Oryctolagus cuniculus: one gene and its partners. The protein of the gene in region 1 interacts with the protein of each later gene in a biochemical or structural test. Links are inferred from orthologs where the notes say so. Each region holds a gene or a part of one and is shown in the gene's direction. Other genes may lie near its edges.

What was found.
Region 2: of the proteins of SNCA (region 1) and FYN, one has a biochemical effect on the other in vitro, tested with the Homo sapiens proteins (3 studies listed by BioGRID). The link is inferred for Oryctolagus cuniculus from reciprocal best matches to the Homo sapiens genes SNCA and FYN.
Region 3: the proteins of SNCA (region 1) and SNCAIP form a complex in vitro, tested with the Homo sapiens proteins (3 studies listed by BioGRID and IntAct, with this or other methods). The link is inferred for Oryctolagus cuniculus from reciprocal best matches to the Homo sapiens genes SNCA and SNCAIP.
Region 4: the proteins of SNCA (region 1) and APOE form a complex in vitro, tested with the Homo sapiens proteins (2 studies listed by BioGRID and IntAct). The link is inferred for Oryctolagus cuniculus from reciprocal best matches to the Homo sapiens genes SNCA and APOE.
Region 5: of the proteins of SNCA (region 1) and NEDD4L, one has a biochemical effect on the other in vitro, tested with the Homo sapiens proteins (3 studies listed by BioGRID). The link is inferred for Oryctolagus cuniculus from reciprocal best matches to the Homo sapiens genes SNCA and NEDD4L.

Annotation. Positions count from the first base shown.
Region 1 is NC_091439.1:75,753,336-75,757,629, forward strand, and holds the start of SNCA (alpha-synuclein), read left to right. Parts: upstream 1-1,490; 5' UTR 1,491-2,218; exon of another isoform or gene 2,219-2,975; intron 2,976-3,009; exon of another isoform or gene 3,010-3,407; intron 3,408-3,697; 5' UTR 3,698-3,722; coding exon 3,723-3,843; intron 3,844-4,294. UniProt on the Homo sapiens protein: Neuronal protein that plays several roles in synaptic activity such as regulation of synaptic vesicle trafficking and subsequent neurotransmitter release.
Region 2 is NC_091436.1:59,710,847-59,715,081, forward strand, and holds the start of FYN (tyrosine-protein kinase Fyn), read left to right. Parts: upstream 1-1,433; 5' UTR 1,434-1,887; intron 1,888-4,235. UniProt on the Homo sapiens protein: Non-receptor tyrosine-protein kinase that plays a role in many biological processes including regulation of cell growth and survival, cell adhesion, integrin-mediated signaling, cytoskeletal remodeling, cell motility, immune response and axon guidance.
Region 3 is NC_091437.1:12,007,095-12,011,392, forward strand, and holds the start of SNCAIP (synphilin-1), read left to right. Parts: upstream 1-1,496; 5' UTR 1,497-1,632; intron 1,633-1,731; exon of another isoform or gene 1,732-1,807; intron 1,808-2,037; exon of another isoform or gene 2,038-2,180; intron 2,181-2,547; exon of another isoform or gene 2,548-2,692; intron 2,693-3,318; exon of another isoform or gene 3,319-3,532; intron 3,533-4,298. UniProt on the Homo sapiens protein: Isoform 2 inhibits the ubiquitin ligase activity of SIAH1 and inhibits proteasomal degradation of target proteins. Isoform 2 inhibits autoubiquitination and proteasomal degradation of SIAH1, and thereby increases cellular levels of SIAH.
Region 4 is NC_091449.1:11,763,898-11,767,930, reverse strand, and holds APOE (apolipoprotein E), read left to right. Parts: upstream 1-1,233; 5' UTR 1,234-1,276; intron 1,277-2,006; 5' UTR 2,007-2,044; coding exon 2,045-2,087; intron 2,088-2,375; coding exon 2,376-2,550; intron 2,551-2,847; coding exon 2,848-3,568; 3' UTR 3,569-3,657; downstream 3,658-4,033. UniProt on the Homo sapiens protein: APOE is an apolipoprotein, a protein associating with lipid particles, that mainly functions in lipoprotein-mediated lipid transport between organs via the plasma and interstitial fluids.
Region 5 is NC_091441.1:20,111,262-20,115,409, reverse strand, and holds the start of NEDD4L (E3 ubiquitin-protein ligase NEDD4-like), read left to right. Parts: upstream 1-1,347; 5' UTR 1,348-4,148. UniProt on the Homo sapiens protein: E3 ubiquitin-protein ligase that mediates the polyubiquitination of lysine and cysteine residues on target proteins and is thereby implicated in the regulation of various signaling pathways including autophagy, innate immunity or DNA repair.

The DNA of each region.
Region 1 (4,294 bases):
AAAAATCAAACCAGTGATTCATGTAACAGCATGAATGAGTCTCAGAAATACTATGCTAGAAGAGAGAAGTCAAATAGGAAATAAAGTTCATACTTTATGATTCCATTTTGATGAAGTGTTAGAATGTACACACCTAAGAAGGGTCCATGGGACCTTTGTGGGGTGATGAAAATGTTCTGGGTTTTCCAAATAGTGCAGATTTTTCAAAATGGACACATAGCGACACTTAAGAGCTGAGCATTTACTCTATGTAAATTATAACCAAGAATAAAAATTCTCAAGTGCTATGGTGATTATTGTTTCATAATTTACATTTTGTGAATCCATGTTGAAATGTTTACAGATAAAATATGCATATAAAACTTGGAATTTACTTAAAAATGAAGATTGGTAGCGATAAAGTGGAGTGTTTATAGTTAGATATGATTAGGCAGGCATTGAAACATTGTGAAAGTTGGGTGATACTCATGTGAGAGTCTTTGATTCTACTTCTGTACATGTCTGAAAATTTTCCATAATAAAAAACTGAAAAGAGAGGGATCATCTAGTTCACCTCCTCATTTACAGGAGGAAAAGCTGTAAACAGGAGGACATAACTTGCTCACGGCCTTAAAATCAGATGGCAAACTAGCTCCCGTGTCTGCTTTCTTCCTCTGATCCCAGGAAAACAAAATATGAGCGGCTGTATCGTCCAAAGGCTGTTTTTCAAAAGGGAGGCAAGGAGTGTGAGGATCTATTAAGTGATAAATACTTGTGATCTAATTTTCACATTTTTTTTTTCTTCGGAATCTATCTGTATCATTTCTTTCTACCACCATCCCCTCCCCTTCTTATGTATTGGTTGTCACCTGTCATCTATCCATCTTTTATCTAACAATCTATATATTTAGCTATCTCTATCCTTTCTATGTAGTCGTTAGCTTCCATCCCTTGTGGTTTCAAGTTGTGCTTTATAGGTGGAAAGCACATCTGACTCAAATTTCAGAACCCAGATGCGTGCAAGCGGCAGAAAAACAGAAACAGACCAAGGAACAAACGAGGCAGCAGAGCCTTGTTCTCCCCTCCGTGCTAAGCCCATCTCCAAGAACCGGGCCAGGAAAGCAAGGCCTTCTGCTGGAGGGGGGGAGCCTGGTTCTCCCTTCTGGTGTGATCTAGGAACAGCTGTTTTCCACCCAGCACTGACAAGGGTGAAAATGCGTTAAACGACGCAGAAATCGGCGGGGGCTCTCTCGCGTGTGCCGTGTAAGGGGAGGGGGTGTCAGCTCGGAGGGCAACGTGCACCACGTTGGATTTGCCTCCTAGACCTTGTCCTGGGGTCTGGAAACGAAGCCGCGTTTCCAGAGCGAAAAGCCTTGGGGCCGCTCGCTTTCGACGGCTGGGGAATATTTATTGCCTGCTTCACAGATGGGGAAAAAAAAAAAATCAGCTTCTGGCAGCCGCTGATTGGTGGAAAAGAAAATGGTGAGAGCCTGGTAGGGAGACGATTTGACGAGTCCCCTCGTGCCTCCCGAACCTGTATCTGTTGCTCGGTGGTCCCCAGCCTGCCCGCGGGACCCTTTCGGGCTCACCCGGGGTTAAGCGAGAACAGAAAACCTCGAGGATGTTCGAACAAAAGCGACCCTGCACGAGGCGCCCCTCGGCCGTGTGCTAAGTGTCAGGAAGCGGGCTGACGCGGGGCAGGTGCAGGCGCCCCCGCCGCGCCCCGTGTCTCCTCCGTCCGCTCCCGGAGCCAGGCTCGGCTGCGACGCCCATTCCTCGGTCCCCAAGCCCCAGGGTTAGGCTCTGCTGGGAGCGAGGTCCCCGAGAAACCAGAGGAAAGGAGACAGCGAGGGAGCGGGTGGAAAGAAGAGACCTCAGCCCGAGCCAAAGCGCTCCGGAGGTCCGCACGTTCCCGGTGCCTCTGAGCCTGCGGTGAAGCACCGGGCCCCGCGCCTTTACGCCTCCCAGGCCGAGGCGGCCGGCTGCAGTGGCCGGGGCCACCTGCCCCGCACCCCCTCCCCACGGAGCACGAGAGCCGAGAGCACGCGCCGGGAGCGCAGCGAGCGCGGGAGAGGGGCGGGGAGAGGCGCTGACAAATCAGCCGTGGGGGCGGTGAGTCGAGGAGATCCGGGCGCCGGAGGAGGAGGTGGAGGAGGACGGCGAGGAGGAGGACGGCCGCGACCAGGGGCCCGCGAGCGGGACGACGGCGGAGCGGGAGTGTGTGCTGACGCGCAGCGAGGTGTGTGCTTGGCCTCTGGGCAGCCCCGGGACGCAGCCCCGCCCTGCGCCTACCTCCAGCCCTCCGCCCGCCTTCCCTCGCGACCCTCGCTTTCTTCCTCCCCCATCCTCCGTGCGGGGGACGGGGAGTGGCAATTGGACGCGAGGTTCGCGCGTGTGCCTCCCACGTCCCCCGCCTCCCGTCGCTGGCTTGCGCTGACGGCAGCCTCCTCTGGGGATCATCCGTCTCTTGGCGCCGCCTCCGCCCTTCCTGTGCGCTCCCGTCCCCTCCCTTGGCCCGTTTAAATAATATTTGGCACTTGTTTAAATTAAAGGGAAAGGGGGGGAGGGGAGGACTCGGAGTCCCGGAGAAGCAGAGTTCTCGGGTGAGTACCTGTGGCTCTGAACGGGCAGCTTTGGAAATCGTGGAGAAACCCGGGAAGGCAGAGGAGCCGCCGCGGACGCGGGGTGGTGGTAGGGTGCACCCCAGGACCGCGGTGTCCAGGCTCTTGGTGGGGCGTGCAGGTCCCTCGCGTGCACGTCAGGAGTGGATGTTGACCCAGCTCTCCCCGGCCTCCCCAAAGGCTGCGAAATCAGCGGCTTCTCCGGGGTGCGTTTTCCCCGCGGAAGCGCCGGGTGCTGGGTGGAGCAAGAGCATCCAACTTTTCTTCTCTTACGGTAACCGCCACCCCGTAGGCCGCTTTTTCGCTGTTTCCCGAGAAGAGAGGAAACAGCTTTGGCCAATTTCTAAATAAAGTGCAGAGGGGACAAGGCAACAGGTAGGAAGGGGTTAACAGGTGCAGGCGCTAGGTGTGCTTGGGGGTGCGGTGCGGCTGAGAACGCCCTTTAGTGTGGCTGGCAGGGGTGTGGACGCTGCCAGCGGGTGAAGACCAGCGCCTGCTCCGGATAGATAGCAGAGGGCGGAGGTGGAGGGCACCGTGGATTCAGAGGAGCGTCCCCTGGCTCCTTCCTTGTTGTCTTGCGGTTTAACCACATGCAGAGTGAGTAGTGCTCTTCCCTCCCCTGGGATCAACCTGTTACCCCTCTTCTGGGATTCATTTTAAGGATGCGCCTGGCCATGGCCCCCAGCTCCCGTCCTTTTCCTGAGGTCTTTCCTCTAAACCTCCTGCTGACTTAGAGGGTCACCCTTTGGACCCTGGGAAGTTGGAAGAAGGGCGCATCTGTTCCTGCCACTCCACTTCTGAGATGCAGTAAGAACAGCTCAGATGCTCTCCCTGGTCAGCATGAGTCAAGATGGATGGGGGAGGAGAAATTCCTAAAGCTAAAGCTTAAGGGGAGTGGGCTGGGGTGGGAGTGAGGGGCGGACTGCTTTGTCCAGGTGGTTGAAATGAGGGGTCACGTCAAAGAGTTTTCACGCTTTTGGGGATTTCTACAGATTTTTAGTGTTTTCGTTTTCTGTTTTGTTTTTAGCTTGGATGGTTTGAATTTTGCTTGCTTTTACCAAAAAGTTCTCACTCAGCATGTATTTTGTGTTTTCCAGTGTGGTGTAAAGGAATTCATTAGCCATGGATGTGTTCATGAAAGGGCTTTCAAAGGCCAAGGAGGGAGTTGTGGCTGCCGCTGAGAAAACCAAACAGGGTGTGGCAGAGGCTGCAGGGAAGACAAAAGAGGGTGTTCTCTATGTAGGTAGGTAGCCCCCCCACCTCCCATGTCATTCTGATACTGGTCCCTGATTGATTAGTTACAATGATGGATACAAGAATGCTGACATTTCTCACGTGATTCGTTCTTGCATCATCACTTGTCAAAAGGATGGATTGAGTCGGAGGACTGGGTAGGTAGGTGAATGTGAAGGTGTATGTTTGAGCTAATCGTGAGAAAATGTGGCTAATCTTTTGTTTCCCCAGATTTTTAAATGTTGCAGTAACACTTAGAACACTTAGAACTTTTTTATCCTTTTTTTCCCCAATGAATGAGTGGCTGTATTCAGAGGGCTGTTTGGAAAACTTAGTCCTTTTTTAAAAAATTAAAACATTTCTAATGATCAAAATAATTCATCGACTATTGATCTCTTTTATCATGATGAATAATATTTACTAATTTTAATGTCTGGCAATTATAAAATAAGACTTTGATA
Region 2 (4,235 bases), on another chromosome or scaffold:
GGAGGAAGAGCCCCTTTCCGTGAGATAAGCGATTCTTGACTAAACGGAAGCTGGAGTTCTAGCATATGGAAAAGATTCTAGTGTTAGCTCTCATTCTGTTTCCTGGGACGATGGAACGAATTAGTAGACACAACTGAAACATGGCTTCTCATTTTGTTTAAGGAGAAAGAAAAAAAAAAGTCACCACTGTATACTATCATTTTGAGTTAGTTACTCAACTTTGCTTTCCTTCAATTTCCTCATTCACAAAATGGAGATGGTGTAATGTTAGTAAATTTTTCAAAAAGGGATTTTTTTTGTTTACAAAAATGACCGACATATTTTAAACTACAGCAAAAAGAAAAGAAGTGTGCAGGAAAGCAATGGTATAGATTTTGAGCATAGATGCAGGAGCTGATTCACTATATTTCTAAGAACGTGTGATTTGCTGAGAGGGAAGGATATAAGGTTCTTGCCAAAACCATTAAGAAGAACGACTCCGAACACGCCTTAAAGCAGAACTTTCAGTAAACAGGAATTACCTATAAAGAAAATCAGGAAGCCAACGTGTTTCTTTTTATGAAGTGACATCCTGCCATAGAAAAGCTGGATAGGAAATAAAGGCTGATGCACTCCCAGCTGTATACGAACCCGCCTATTATTTCATCAAGGAAAATCCGAGCAGACGCCCAGACTCAGTGGAGGGAAAAACACAGGAGAAACCAACGACAACCCACGGCTACAATTAGACATGATTTGGGGAAAATGCACAAAGAAACCTCTGCTCTGTGATTTCGAGTTCCCGGGTCGTCGCCCACCCCTGCCCTCGTTTAAGCAGCACTGGCTCCAGACTTTCGCCAGAAATGCGAATATGTGTGTCCACGAAAACGGGGGACCCACGGCAGAACCCGAGTTTCGTCTCCTCTTCTTTCGCGTCCTCTGTTGCGCGTTTCCAGGGCTCTCCGGGGCTTCTCCAGTTCGATCCGAGGAAGGGCTGCAGTCACCAGCCTAACGCTCCTCCGTCTTACCCCCCGCCCTCAAAGGGCAAGGCTCTCCCGCCGCAGGCTCCCGTGGTCTCGGAGGAGTGGCAGGTGCCAATCTGTAGTAGCACCTGCATTCCTCTGCAAAGCAGAAGCCGCGATTCCCACGGACGCTCTCCCGCCCTGATCTTCCCCTAACTCACAGCTCCCCAGTCTCTAAAACACACCCGCACCTCCTCCCGCGCACCCTCCCGCGCCCCCACCCCGCACGCACGCCGGGATGCCGCTGCCACAGTAACGCTCAACCCTCTCCGCGGCCCCACCCAGGGCCGTCCCGCCCCCTCCGCACACACCAATGGTTGAGGCTCGCATCTCCCACGGGGCCCTCTGATAGGACGGCGAGCCTTGCCACTCTCGGGGCCGCCCCCGCCCCCTGCTCGCTCCCCTCTGGAGCCCGAGGGCCGGAGCATCAGCGGGAGTCGCTGCGAGCAGCCGCGGCGGCGGCGCGTCTTTGCAGTTGCGCCATCTGTCAGGAGCGGAGCCGGCGGGGAGGGGGCTGCCGCGGGAGAGGAGGAGGGGTCGCCGCGAGACCAAGGCCTCCGAGACCCGCCCGCCGGCCGGCCGCGGGAACAGGGGCGAGGCTGCGCTTGGAGCCGTGCGTCCTCAGCCGCCCGGGTGCGGCGCTTCTCCCTGCGCGCCCAGGACTCTCCGGGCGCACACAAAGCCGCCGCCCGCGCCGCACCGCCCGGCGGCCGCCGCCCGCGCCAGGGAGGGATCGGGCCGCCGGGCCGGGGACCCCCGCCCCCCGGCGCCGCCCCCTCGGCGCTCTCGAGGGCCCACCCGGCAGCTGCCTGAGCCGCCAAGGCCGCGCCCGACCACGGCGAGGAGAGGACCATGTGAATGGACTCCGGAGCCTGGCGCCGCGCAGGTAAGCGGCCGCAGATGCGGCGCGGGGGGCCGCGGGATGCTGCGGGGACCCCCGGCCGCCGGCGCCCCCGCACAGCCGCCTCCGCCGCGGTGCCCGGCTGCTGGGCCGTGGCCACCGCCGCCTCCGGAGCGCCCAGCGGGGCAGCCGCGCGCGGGCGCGCGTGCGGGGGGTCTTCCCGCGGCCGAGCGAGGCCACCTCTGCGGGGCGCGGCCCCGAGGCAGCGTGGGGATGGGGCCCTTTCCTTGCCCGCGAGCGGGTGCCGTGTGAAAATCGGAATTGACCTGGGGGCGAGGCTAGCCCAGACTCCGCCCCCGCCCTCCTTTCGGGCCCCCCGCGGGAACCGGGCTGTGTGTGTTGTTTAATGTCGGGGATGATGTAATCACTTAATAATTGATGCCCCGTGCTGCTTCCCTCCCCACCCACCTCGGCCCCACTCCACCTCGCGGTCCCCGCCCTCGGGGCCGTCGCCTTCCCCTCGCGTCCTCAACCCACTCCTGGCACCTCCCGCGCTCCGCCATCCTCCCCTTCGCTCTGCCAGTGCCACCGCCGCCCGCCTTCCCTGTCCCCTCGCCTCCTGGACTCCCGGCCCCCCGGCCCCCACCCCTGCTGCTCCCTGGACCTCCTTTCTCCTCCCCTCCCGGCTCCCTAGCTGCATTTCCTCCCGACTTCCCTGGATCGATGGCTGTTTTTGTTTGGTCCCCTCCCCTCTCTTATCTCTGCGGCCACAGGCCAGGCCGAGGGGACTGGGCCAGAAAAGAGGCCACCCAGCCAAGGCCCAGGAGAGGATTTGCTGGGACTCACTGAGGAGAGGGATAATAAAATCACCCTTCTGGCTCCTCCTTCCCCCAATAAATCACCCAGACCCGCCGTGTGTGAGTGTGTGTGTGTGTGTGTGTGTGTGTGGCACAAAGAGCCCTTTCAGTGCATAGAGGAGACACACAAAGTACCCAAGGATAGGCACGATGCTTCTGGTTTCTCTTCCCCGGGGCTTCCCTTTCTTGCTTATGAAGCAGTCCATCTTCTCTCAAGAGTCTTTCTATCCACATTTACCAAAAAATAAATAAATAAATAAAAGCCCTCCAGATGCCGGCTGGCAGGTGCGGGCACTTTGGTGTATTCACAGACTTGCAGTGTTGACTGGCAGCTGCAGGATTTCTTAGATGTAAGAGGACAGTTATTCCAGCCTTCTTGAAGTTGCTTTACTCTTAAGGTCCCCACCTCCGTGTGTGCCCCCCCCCCCTTTGTGGGGTAGATAACTAAAAGCTGGGGTGGAAGGAATTTGGTGTGGGCTCAGAAGAATCTTGTTTCTGAATCAATGAAATTGGTGTTGACAAGCTGACTCTCTTCTTCGCAAGTCTCAAGCCACTGTCCTAATCTTTTGAAATGAGATCTTGTCTGCCCAGAGATGTTGTTTCACCCTTTTATTTAAGCAAGTACCTGAGAACATCAAAACATTGAATTGGCGTTGAGGAGACTGGAGACTGTCTCTTGCCTGCTTCACAGTAACCTTCAGACACCCACATCCTTCCTCTCACCACCCAAGTTACTGCAGTACTTTCCACCCTTCGTGTCTTTCTCCCCGGTCCCTGCCCCCTGGGTACCATGCTTTCAGATGGAGTCCTTGCAGCTTTTGGAGGAAGTGGTTTAACTACCTGAGCCTCTGCACAGGGGATGTAGATTCTTTTGAGTGAACTCTGATAAACCCTCTGATGTTCCTCTGAAAGAGGAAATGTTCATGTAAATCTGGGAGCTTTATATTCCATTCTGTAAGCCGCTCTGGCACTTATACACTTAGCTGATATCAAAATTTTGGTCTGGCCCGTTCATGGTCAAAAGCATGGCTCCTTAACTATTGTAAATAGCCGAACTATCTCAAGTTTATTCTTCAAGAATTTATTAGGGAAGAGCGGTTATGATTTGTTAAACATTTACTCCTGTACTTTCTAAGGATTTAAAAAGAAAAAGAAGCAATAGAGCTGGCCAGCACCATGGCTCACTTGGCTAATCCTCTGCCTGCGGCGTCAGCACCCCGGGTTCTAGTCCTGGTTGCCCCTCTTCCACTCCAGCTCTCTGCTGTGGCCCAGGAAGGCAGTGAGGATGGCCCAATTGCTTGGGTCCTGCACCCGCATGGGAGACCAGGAGGAAGCACCTGGCTCTTGGCTTTGGATTGCACAGCACACTGGCTGTGGCAGCCATTTGGGGGGTGAACCAACAGAAGGAAGACCTTTCTCTCTGTTTCTCTTTCTCTCACTGTCTAACTCTGCCTATCCAAAAAAAAAAAAAAAAAAAAAAAAAAAAAAAAAAAAAAAAAAAAAAAGGCAATAGAGCTAATGAGTAGATTGTATAGA
Region 3 (4,298 bases), on another chromosome or scaffold:
AGCAAACCAACACGCAGTCCAGACCAAAGCAAACTCTCAGCCTACGTGGGAAAGTGTATACAGGCACCGATTGAAATCACAGTGTAAAAATCATCTCATGGAAACAATGGTTTTGAATATGTAATCAAAAACATGCTGGAAACAGAAAAACATAACAAAAGAACTCCAAAAAACAGGGGAAACTATCTGAAACATCTTAAAGATGACTTTGTAACACGACGGCATGCAAAACTGCTTTGGCTATGCAAAAAAAAATAATAACAATTTTTTTCCAGGACAACCCATTTTTTTTTGGTTCAGACAACACAACCAAGTCTTTTCTGGTTGAATCCTTGATACTGAGTTAACACCTGGCTCATTGTTAGAACCAGTGGATTTTTAGGACAGTTGGAAGAGATACATAGTTAGAATTCCTTAGTCAATGATTCTATCAATAAAGTGCAATCTGATTTAATAAAAGAACAAGGTGTCAAAACATTCAAGACGAAGGGACTGAAAATACAGTTCTCATTGGTCATGTCAACAGCGACACCATTTCCATCTACTGGATAGAAGCACGATGTGCTTTTCTCAGAGTTTACACTAGGAAAAAAAAAGCATTTTTATTTTAACCAGATGTGAGTGAATTAAACCCAATATTTTCAAGTATTTTTAGCACCCTATGATGTCATCTGATTTTATATTTTCTACTGCGGGATAACGTGTGTTTTTAAAATTGTGAAACCACTTTCCACCTATGTGAAGTGTCATACATGAGAAATTACAGTAAACACGTGACAACAGCGCAGGACACACTCTTCGGCTGTTCATGGCAGAAGCCGAGAGAGAATTTGAGATTTTCAGTGGGAAGTGGAATTCACAGCAAGTGAACCTTCTTCCACCACCTCAACGCCCTGGTCATTTCAGGGCAGGGACCTGCCCCTTCCTGGGGAGACTCGACCCAGTCTCAAGAGCCAGCGTCTTCCCTCCCATCGCGGATTGTCCCCGTCAGGCCCACGCAGGACACAGAGCCCACTGCCACCGCCCGGACGGAGCTGGGGTGCCCGGGATCTCGTCCCCCGGGGCGGGCCTGGGAGCCAGGACGGCCCCACACCGCCCAGGACCAGCCTCCTCCCCGTCGCCGGGGGGCAGCGCCCTGCCGGCCAGCAGTGGCCGCGCCCGGGGGACCCGAGGGTGGTCCTCACGGGCGCTGCCGAGCCAACTTGGCGGCGTCTCGCCCGGGGGAAGGAGATGTCTTAAAAACCATGGAGAGCTTTGCCAAGGCAGCAACCGCGCGGCGGTCGTCGCGAGCCTGCATCTCGGAAGCCAGGAGAGACGACGCCGCCGCCCCCCGCCTCGGCCCACCGATGCAAAAGTCAAGTTAATGTAGCCGCGCGTGGACGTCGGCACCCCGAAGGGCTGGGGTGAAAGCCGCGACTTCAGAGCAAACCTCCTCCTCCTCCTCCACCCCCGGCACCGCGCACGGAGCCTTCCGAGCGAAGCCCCCCGGAGGGGTCGCGGCTGGCTGGCAGCTCCGCGCCGGGCGGAAGACGTCGCTGTCGCCGGGACCCTGCCCGAATTTCTCCCCCAGCCCTCACCCCGGCCCCGGGCGTGCGTGCGGGAGGCGGCAGCCGTGGACGCGCGGCCCGCGCGGTGAGGGGCGCCGGCGTTTCCAGGGGGGCGAGGCCGGCGGGCGGGGAGGAGAAAGTGGGAAGCGGGGGCCACAAAGTAGGCGGGGAGGAGAGGCGGGCCCTGGCCAGGGAAAAGGAGGCGGTGGAGCGAAAGGTAGCGGAGAGCGAGCAGGTTGGCGGGCCGGCGCCGGGCCGCGGTGAGGACGGCGCGGGGGCGGCGCGCGGGAGGGCGGGGAGGGCTCTCTGTCACTCGGGCGCGCGGGGCGGCTCCCGCAGCCTGGCCCGCGGCGGCCGCGCCTCCGGCCCCCAGCCGTGTGTCCGCGCCGGCCCCGGGGCTGCCCCCCGCCCGCGCGCGCCCGTGGGGGGCCCGGGGAGCGGCGCCCGCGGCTCGGCCGCATTGTGACGTAGCGGGGCCGCGGCAGCGCCTCCGCCGCCCGCCCGTCCGCCCGCCTGGTCGCGCTGTTCCAGCTCCCGCCGCTGTCCGTCCGTCCGTCCGTCCGTCTGTCCGTCCGTCCGTCTCTCCACGCGATCTCCCCCCACCCCGCCACCCCGCCACCCCGCCACCCCGCGGTGAGTCCGGGTCCCCGAACCAGCCGCGCGATCGATCGGTCGAGCCTTTTCCAAGTTTGCACCAGGCGACCCCGGGCGGTGTCGCCCCTTTGCTGCCCCAGCCGCGGGCCCCCTTTGTGCCGCGAGTGGCGCGGGCCCTGGGCGGGGAGATCGCTATAGTAACGGCGGCGGCGGCGGCGGCCCGGCGGCCGCGGGATTGTGCGGCGCCTCGGCGCGCGCCTCGCGGGTTATTCTTCTCGCGGCCGCCTCGGCTCGTGTGCGGGCTGCGGGCAGGGGCGGAGCGGCGGCGCCCGGCCGCCGAGCGCGGGGCTCGGGACAGCAGCAGTGCCCGGCGCCAGGGTCCGCGGCGAGGGGCGCCGGGCACCGGGCGCGCAGCCCCCCGCCCGCACCCCGCGGCCCCCCGGCGCCCCCGCCGGCGCGGTCCTGCGCCCCGGGCGCGCGTGGCGGCGCGGGCGGGGACCGTGTCGCTGGGCCTTGGCTCCGGGGGCGATGACTTTCCCGTGCAGGTGGTGGTGAGTGGGGGGCACCGGCTCGGGGGTGTGGGGGGGGCTATTGTCAGCTGCCACGTTTTGTGTATTTCGTTTTGACGAAAAGAAAAGGGAGAATTGCGAGCCGCTGCTGGCAGCCATACAGTTTCCACAGGAAATACTAGCATTCTTTGAGGAACACGCTGCTGCTCGCGGGGAAGAAGAAAAGTCTTTAGGAAACAAAAAGGCAGCGGCATTGTTGCTGGTTTCCAGTGGGCCGCCGGGAGGGGGAAGCGCGTTGTTTTTTCCTGTGGGAACGTCGTCGCTTTCCTTGGGAAAGTTCATTAGGGGAGCCTGGCAGCGCGGGGCCGCGTTTGGCCGGCTCGAGGCCGGGCGCTCCTCTGGGCGATGACTGACAAGTGCCCATCAAAGAGCCCCGCTGCGGGGCAGTGTCGCCACACACCACGTGCCGTGGAGCGCGGCCAGGGCGCAGTTAGCAGACACATCAGGGCTGCCTGGGGAGGTTGAGGAGGGCTGCATGTGTGTGCAGGCCGTGTCAGGTCTCCCAGGTGTCAATCCACACACTTTGCAGACACTGCTTTCATGCCTCAATCCTAGGCAAAAAAAAAAAAAAATATATATATATATATATATACACACATATATATCTTTTATCATGGAGCATGGAGTGCTGACCCCAGTTCCCATTTGTATTGCGTTTGTACATCTTGAAAATTTCATTTTATTTTATTAATTTGTTTATTCATTTGAAAGGCAGACTCACAGAAAGAGAGGGGGAGAGACAGAGATGTCTTCCATCTGCTGGGTCACTCCCGAAATGGCCCCAGCAGCCGGAGCTGGGCCAGTCAAGGCAAAGAGAAGAAGGTACAGGACCCAAGTGTGCTAATGTATGCATTCTTTGAGGGTGGGCTGCCTTCTCTTTTATGATTTTTTTATTTGAAAGGGAGAATTATGGGGAGAGAGCTTCCATCTACTGGTTCACTCCCCAAATGGTCACAAAAGCCAGGGCTGGGCCAGGCTGAAGCCAGGAGCCAAGAACTCCATCCTGGTTTCCCACATATGTGGCAGGGGCCCAAGCGCCGTCTTCCACGGCCTTCCCAGGAGTGTCACCAGCATGCTGGTTGGGAAGTGGGACAGCCGGGAGTTGAACCTGTGCTCTGGTATGGGATGCTGGTGTCAGGGACAGTGGCTTAACACCTGCCTCTAGGCTGTTTCTGATGCATCTCAATGTTAATGTACTTACAGCTTGGTTAGGGGGTAGGGAAACACCTTGAATGTGTTTCAAGTTTTACGCCTCTGGAGGGCGTAGTAATCAGTGACCGAAGATGTGTGACTTCTGGGTATGGAACCAGAAAAGATCTGAAGATATTAAGGATCTTTGGACATCACAGAAATAAAATACTGAAAGGATTTAAAAAGAAGGGATGTTGTTTTGAATATAACTTTTCTTTTTTCCATAGTAAGTATTTTGTGGGGGAGGGAAAGGCTGTAATATAGTAAATTGGGAATGTTTTAGTAATTTGACATTTACTGTTTGTTGGTGTTAAAAGGAAGTGACCAGAGCAAATGAATTTCTCTGCTCTATCCCATCTTTGCTAGTTGCAGGCCCTTACTGTAGTGCAGGTGTACA
Region 4 (4,033 bases), on another chromosome or scaffold:
GCCGCAGCCTGGGGGACTTTGTCCTTGCAAACTGAGGCAGCGGATGGCTGCGTGCAGACGGGGCAGGGAACTGGGCCCCCGGCCTCCGCAGATTTCCAGAAGAGGCGGGTCTGGAATTTTGGAGCCTCAAGCAGAGCTACTGGGACTGCTGCATCTGGGGCTGGAGCGACACAGTCCCGGTGCAGGGGTGCGGCCCCGCTCGCCTCGCAGGAGGCGCTGTCAGCACTTGGCCAACCCGCGCCCCGAGGCCTGGCGAGGAGGCTGCTGGGTGATGTCCCCGAGTTACCTGGGGAGGCCGCCTCCCCTGCGCCTTGAGAAACAGGGCCGACTGCCAGTGCCTGCTGCGGCTTTGCCCCCAACCCAGCCCTGGGCCTTGAGTCCCTGGGACAGCTGGGGGCAGGAGCCCATGGGAAGGTGACTGCTGGAGCGCGCTAGGCTGCCCAGGTGTGGGCCCACCGTGTGCAGGGCGCTGGCCTCGGCACGCGCCGTTCACTCCTGCATCACCAAACCTGCGGGGCGCATGCCGCTGCTTGCCTGGTTGTGCAGGCAAAGAACTGGCCGTTCAGAGAGGGGAGGTCATTTGTCCAAGGTCACACAGCTGGCAGCGCGCAGTGCCAGGATGCAAGCCCCAACAGTCCTGCAAACTGCAAGGAAGAGGACGTGTGGGTGACTCCTGGCGGGCGGGCCCACCACCTCTGCCAGCCAGGTGCTGCGATCTCAGTAAACAAGGGGGGGGGTCCCAGAGGCTCGCACCTGCACCGCCTGGGAGGGAATTGGAACAGAAACCCTGACCGTGGGACGCTGGCCTTCATCACGCTGCCCCCAGCCCTGCCTGGGCTCCTGCTGTGCCCTAACTTAAGCCGGGAGTCCAGACTCCACTCCGACTTCATTCAGGCCCTGGGGGGTGGGGGTCCTAAGCCCCATCCATTCCCAGAACCCAGAAGTTCCAGCCGGGCACAGGGAAGGCGTGCTGGAGCAGCAGCCGGCCCAGTCCCCGCCTGCACCCCAGTGGAGAGGACGTGGGACACCGAGGGAGGCGCCCCTCCCTTCCTAGGGGCTGGGGGCGGGGGTCACGGGGCCTCCAAGCCCCACCTCCTTCCTCGCCCTGCTGTGTGCGAGGGGGGAGAACAGCCCACCTCGTGACTGGGGGCTGGCCCAGCCCGCCCTGGCCCCGGGGAGGGGCGGGGCAGGGGGAGCCCTATAATTGGACCCGTCAGGGATCCCTGCCGCCCTGCTCTGCCCCAGCCGAGGTGCAGGCGAGGTTCCGCAGGAGGCGGTGAGCAGCACAGCGGGGGGCTGAGGGGCCTCCAGGGAAAGGGGGGGTCCAAGGGCAAGGGAGCGACTTGGGGACGGGCTGTGGGAGAGAACGTGGTGGCCTGTGCCTGCGTCGGGACAGAAGGACGGCCGAGCAGGGCTGAGGCTGGAAGCAGGGCTTGGACCTCAGGCAGGGACATCCCATCCTGGCTGGGGCTGGGGTGGGGCAGCAGCTGGAGCCACAGCGAGCCCTGGGGCGGTTGCTGCCACTTATTTGTCCTTCCCGGCACCCCATCTCCGCAACTGGGGTCTCGGGAAACAGGGACTACGTCCCAAGACCGACTTGTTAAAAACCGTGGTTCAATCAGCTCCTACATGGCAAGTAGGGCTTAGACGTGAGGTTGGAGCTTAGAATGTGACGGCGGGACGAGGAATGCGACATGGAACTCAAGAAGCCCAGCCTGGAGCCAGAAAGCTCGGGGGTGGGGGGGCTGGGGGAGTGGAATTCGACCCCTGGGAGAGGGAGATGGAATTCTGGCCCCGGAGCCGGCCGGAGGATGGGGAGACTGGAGCAGACAATGCGGGAGCTGTGCAGCCCCCCAGGGGCGGCTTGGTGAAATGATTGTGATCGGACTAAGGCTGTCACAGACAGGGGCCAGGGCGAGGCTTGGGGATCCTGGGCCCGGGCGCAGCCGGAGCTGGGCTCCGGGGCGGGGGGGAGGGGACCGTCCTCCTCCGCTGTTGATTGACAGTTTCTTCCTCCCAAGACTGACCAACCGCAGGCGGGAAGATGAAGGTGTGGTGGGCTGTGTTGGCGGCGGCGATCCTGGCAGGTATGGGGGCGGGGCTTTCTCGGGTTCCCCTGCTGCGCGGCCCCTGCCCGCACTCCAGCCCCCTGTCCTGGGGAGGAGGCGCGCCGAGCTGAGACCTCTGAGGCCTGCTGCGGTTCTGAGCCGCTGTTTCTCCCCCGGGCCTCGGCTTTCCCCACCCATAAAATGGGCGTTGAAGTTCCTAATGCACACAAGGCCCATCAGTGTTTGCCGACTGAGCGGAGACCCCACCCGCTTCTGCCCCCGCGGCCCGAACCCCGCACGGCCCCTGACCACTTTGCTCCCGCACAGGATGCCGGGCCGAGACGGAGCAGGAGGTGGAGGTGCCGGAGCAGGCCAGGTGGAAGGCCGGCCAGCCCTGGGAGCTGGCCCTGGGCCGCTTCTGGGATTACCTGCGCTGGGTACAGTCGCTGTCTGATCAGGTGCAGGAGGAGCTGCTCAGCTCGCAGGTCACCCAGGAACTGACGTGAGTGTCCCCGCCCTGACCAGGAGCCTCCTGGGGGGCGGCGGGGGGCGCCTCTGCACCCTCGGCCAGTCTAGATGCCTTTGCGTCCTTGGGGTCGGGGGCCCTGCTCCTGCGTCCTCTTCCCACTCCTGACTCCGGTTTGACCTCTCCGGCTGTCTCGCACCTTCCCAAGCCCCCTCCTCCTCGCCGGCTCCTCTGGGCCTCGCTTGGTCCTTGGGGCCCCTTGGTCGCTGCCAGCGTGCACCCAGCCCTGGCTCCCCAGCTCACGCCCGCCCTCCCGCCCCCTGGGCCCCGCAGGATGCTGATGGAAGAAACCATGAAGGAGGTGAAGGCCTACAAGTCGGAGCTGGAGGAGCAGCTGAGCCCCATGGCGCAGGAGACGCGGGCGCGCGTGTCCAAGGAGCTGCAGGCTGCGCAGGCGCGCCTGGAGGCCGACATGGAGGACGTCTGCAACCGCCTGGCGCAGTACCGCGGCGAGGCGCAGGCCATGCTGGGCCAGAGCACCGAGGAGCTGCGCGCGCGCTTCTCCTCGCACCTGCGCAAGCTGCGCAAGCGGCTGCTGCGCGACGCCGAGGACCTGCAGAAGCGCATGGCGGTGTACGGCGCCGGGGCCCGCGAAGGCGCCGAGCGCGGCGTGAGCGCCATCCGCGAGCGCCTCGGGCCGCTGTTGGAGCAGGGCCGCCTGCGGGCCGCCACCGTGAGCACCCTGGCCGGCCAGCCGCTGCGGGAGCGCGCGCAGGCCTGGGGCGAGCGGCTGCGCGGGCACCTGGAGGAGGTGGGCAGCCGCGCGCGCGACCGCCTGGACGAGGTGCGCGAGCAGGTGGAGGAGGTGCGGGTGAAGGTGGAGGAGCAGGCCGCGCAGATGCGCCTGCAGGCCGAGGCCTTCCAGGCCCGCCTCAAGAGCTGGTTCGAGCCGCTGGTGGAAGACATGCAGCGCCAGTGGGCCGGGCTGGTGGAGAAGCTGCAGGCCGCCATGCCCAGCAAGGCGCCCGCGGCGGCGCCCATCGAGAACCAGTGAGCGCCTCGCGGGCCGCCCCCGCCCCGCGCGCCCCGCCTCCCCGCCCCGGTGGACGCCCCCCCTTAATAAAATTCACCACCTCCACAGCAGCTGCTGGGTCTCCGCGTGATTCCTCCCATGGGGCTCAGCCTCCTTTTTTTTTTTTTTTTTTAAGATGCACTACTGGAAAGAGTGACAGACACAGAGAGCTTTCCATCCACTGGGTCACTCCCCAAAATGCCCACCACTGCCAAAGTTGAGCCAGGCGGGAGCCAGGAGCCTGCATCCGGGTCTCCCACATGGGCGCAGGGGCCTGAGCACTAGGGCCACCCTCCACTGCTTTCTCAGGCCATAGCAGAGAGCTGGATCGGAAGTAGAGCAGCCGGGACTCAAACCGGTGCCCATATGGGATGCCAGCACTGCAGGCGAAGGATTAACCTACTGAGCCACAGCGCCGACTCCCCCTACCCCAAGCCTTGTGTATTT
Region 5 (4,148 bases), on another chromosome or scaffold:
TCCTTTCTGGAGAACACTTTGGCCACATTTATGAAAATTGTAGTTCATTCAAAAGTTTTCTCAACCAATCTTGGCTGTGGATATCCTTTCTTTTCCTGAGTGTGTGCCTTTATTCATTCCACACATCTTTGTTGTGCGAGCTCCTGCTGCAGCCTGCAGGTGCATTGGTCAGCAGCTCGGCCCTTCACCAGGCTCAGGAGCAGACAAGAAGCCCACTGTCCACCTGCTGGCTCGGTCAGTGGACTGCGGAAAGGTCAAGGGGCCAGAGCAGAAAGCCGAGCCTTCTGCACACGTGTGGTCAAATGTGAAGCAGTTCCGTTCTCTCTCTGAGGCAGCCGGGGCCTTGGAAGGCGTCCTGCCTGGGTCACAGCTCTGGCTTTACCATTTCCTGCCTTTGTGACCCTGGAAACATCACCCAAAGGCTCTAAGTACTCAGATGGGAGAGGATGGTTTCCAGGTTTACGTGTGATGATGTAAATCAGAACAGCAGCACCATGTCTCGTGGGTGCTCGCTGTTACTAAATGACGCCGAGTGTGCGTGAGCACCAAGACCATTTGGGTTAGGTTTTGGTAAAGAACAAGAAAGAAGCAAAAATGACACTGCAGGTGCAGTAGCTTTGACCTTGGCCACAGGTTGCTGAGCGGAGAAGCATCCCTTATTCCCAGCTCTCTCTGCAGGTTGCCACCTGGGTCCTGGAGACAGCAGGCCAGACTTGCGTGGGGCCTGGCCACCCACCACGCTAGCTTTGACTGGGATAGCCTGCTTGACCCTCATGGATTCAGCCCCTCGTTTGTCAAATTGGGATGCTAAACACTGTGGGGTTGCCGTGAGGATTAAATCACATATTGTAAGTGTTTAACCAGGAGAGAGTGCCTACAAATAAATGCAAATAAGTGAGAGGAGCATTCTCTTCATTGCATAATTTTTATCATTACCATTGCTATAATTAGGCCAGGACGATTCCTGCAGGCAGGGGTCTTGGTGAAGATGTGGTCTGCAGGTGTGGGAATGCCTTTTGTAGAGATTAGGAACTCTTGAAAGGTGTTTAGAATTGTCCTTTCTTATTTCAGAAAAATAGCCAAGAGCCTTTTCTTCTTCTAACAGGCCTGAGTATCGGGGGTAGAATAATGCAGAAACTGATAATATCAGTGTTCCGGAATTTCCAGAAGAGCATGCTAATTGTTGATGTTGCACAGCTCAGTTCAGTGCATTCTAAGGCATTATTCTTTCAATGAATTCTTGCTCATTTTTGAAGTACTGTGTGCATCCCTTGCAGGTAAACCCATCTAATCACAGACTCCTGTTTGAAGTTTTCGACGAAAATAGACTGGTAAGTAGGTCTCCACTTTTAAGTTTTGGAGCAGCATCGTTCAAATGTTGTATTTGTGTAGAGCTTAGAACACTATGCACAACCCAAGGGAAGACCATTTTTATTTTACTGCCGGTAAAGATTCTGTTTTTGTGTTGTTAGGGCAGTGGAGTTATGGGATGTGTGTATTTTCATCACAGTGAGTATCAGTGGCAGTCACTGGTGATGGTTTCAGTCTGTATGCTTAACACAGTGGTGCTGGGAATATGTACCGGATGTGGGCAGATTTGTAAAGGGGCCATCAGGCGTGTAAGCCAGCCTTGTGGGGTTTTAAAAGTGGAAGCCAGACTACAACATTGTGATGCCATTAATAGTAAATCTATGGTGATTCTAGGAAAACAAAAATTAATTAACAGTATGTAACATAATGTGAATCTATACTTAGCAGGTGAAATGAAGTTGTATTTTTAAAGTGGTACTTTCCTAAGAGAGAACCTTAGTACTTTTAAAAAACCAAAGATATGCCCGAGGCATATAAATGGTATAAGTGAACATTTTATATATAGATTGGTGTGTGTGCATATTACGTTCATGTGTATGAAATCTGCGATTTCATTTTAGAAGCAAAACCTGGCTGAAGCAGCTTGCTTGCTTAACTAACCAGAACGTATCCCTCAAGTTACCTGGGAACCACGTGTTCCCTCTGTGACAGTGAACACCATCACGTAAGGCCTTCCAGTACCCTCTGTTACAACCCAGCGCACTTGGCTGGATTGAAACCTACCTTTCCGGAAGCTTACGTATGTTGATTGATGAAAAGGAACGTTCTTATGGACCCCTCTTTCTCCAGAATTCAACTGGCACTCCAGATTACGGAATACATCAGTCAGAGCAAGTGCCAGGTCCAACTTTCTGGGCTCCTAGGTCTCAGCCCCGTGGTGCAACAGCCAGCTAACTGACCCTTGCTAAAGACTTTGGGAGGATGCTTGATCCCATATGCTTGGGAGTATTTTCCAGAAGACCGTGGTCAGGTTAGGGTTAGCAGTAGTCAGGTAGCAGCAGGTCCCTGCACTCTGGGAGACGCCCATGGCTAATCCTCACCTTCCTGAGTGTGATGGCTTTTCATTATTTTTCTTGTGTTACGAAAAATCCACTGTTTAAAAGTTAAGTTTCCATTTCCATGGTCTACCATAATGCCTGTGGTGGAGCCAGCCTTGCCATGGGTGGGAAACTGCGTTGCCAGTCTTCAGAATGGGCTTCGAATGGGCAGATTTGCGGAGATCCTGAGTGACGACCCCAGGCTTTATTTGAAAGGTTGTGTCTTACTAATTCCCACCTCTGCCCCCAAGGCCATCTGTAGTGTTGCTGATGTTTTTTCCTTTGTTGGCTATAAATGCAACAAAGATAATCCATGTCTGTAGCAGCACTTGGAAGTCTCAGCCTTAAACAAATGAGTTCCCATTTCTCTCAGGTCATTTTGGGCATGTAAGACCCATGCTTTGAGAACACACTTGGGGTGTGTGTGTAAACACAGGGTTAAGCCTCCACACCCTGGGCTCCAGAGCTGTTGACAAAGTCATGCTTTGCAGATTTTAAAATAAACTTTTTGTCACTCTTCACAGCTTGGCATTTTTCCCTCCTAATTTTTTTTTTACCCCCTCCTAAATAAACCTTTGTTAAATAACTGATGTTTCTGGGTCATAGAAAAGTTAAGTTTAAAGCGCTCAGAATATTTCCCAGCGAACTGCAAATCTGATGACAGCTTTTTGAATGTGCACTTTTATTTCTTAGGTCCCGTCTGGCTCCTTGCACACATATCAGGATTCCATGTTGTAGCCCAACTGTGGCAATGTTGCCGACTTTTTACTGGAAAACAGCTCCCCTAAAAGCATTTCTTCTGGATGGTGTTTAAATTACCGCAGAAACCCCATGCACACCACGGCTTGATTTTTCCTTCTTTTTTTTTTTTTCCCCCAATCCTACCTGGCATGTGTAAGCAAATATTTTCACCAGCTGAGTTCCTGTCCTTTGCTGCTTCCCCGTCTGATAATCATAATATAAATGAGGGGAACACACACATGCACACACACAGGCCTTTTAATTGAAAACTGTCCTAACAGCAGGCGGATGGGGCCGGCAAATGGCCGTAGAGCGAGTTGTGCCCCTCTGTCTCTCCACGGAGCTATTTTGTTCCTTGGAGATCACGGTCTAATTATTTCTCAGGAGGGGGACCCTGATTCGGTGGGGGCGTGTAATCGTATTTATAGTACGTTTTACGAGTTTGCATTCCGGCATCGTAGGGTAGTGATATCATAAATAACAGAAACACAGCGCGCACCGCCTGGGGAAGGGGTTCCCCCCTCGCGCAGCCCCCGCCGCGTTTCCCTGTCGCTGCCTGGGGTGGTGGGAGCTGGGAAGCCCCGTGGGCGCTCTGTACGCAGTGCAGGGCCCCCGGCGCCCTCCGGACAGTCCCAGGGCTCCGCTCCGCTCCGCTGGGAGAGAAGCGTCCTGCCAGCGCAGTGCTGGGAGATTTACAGCCCAGGGTCCCGGTGCTTGCTGCCCTAGGCAGCTGCGAGAGCTCCCTGCTGGGGCCACTCCTTGCTGATGGAAAAGCAACAGCTGGGAAGGTGCTGTTTCAGGCCCTCGCTGTTTAAAAAAAAAAAAAAATGAGGAGGAGAAGGGGGAAACCGCACTAAGTCCACAAGCTGGCATTGGAGGGGGAGCGCGCGGTCATGTGCTCCTGGCCACCCTACCCTCGGCCCAGCGCGGATGAGAGCTCCTTGCTCTTATCCAATCATGCCTGGAATGCCGCTTGCCACTTGGGTTATTTCTGCTATC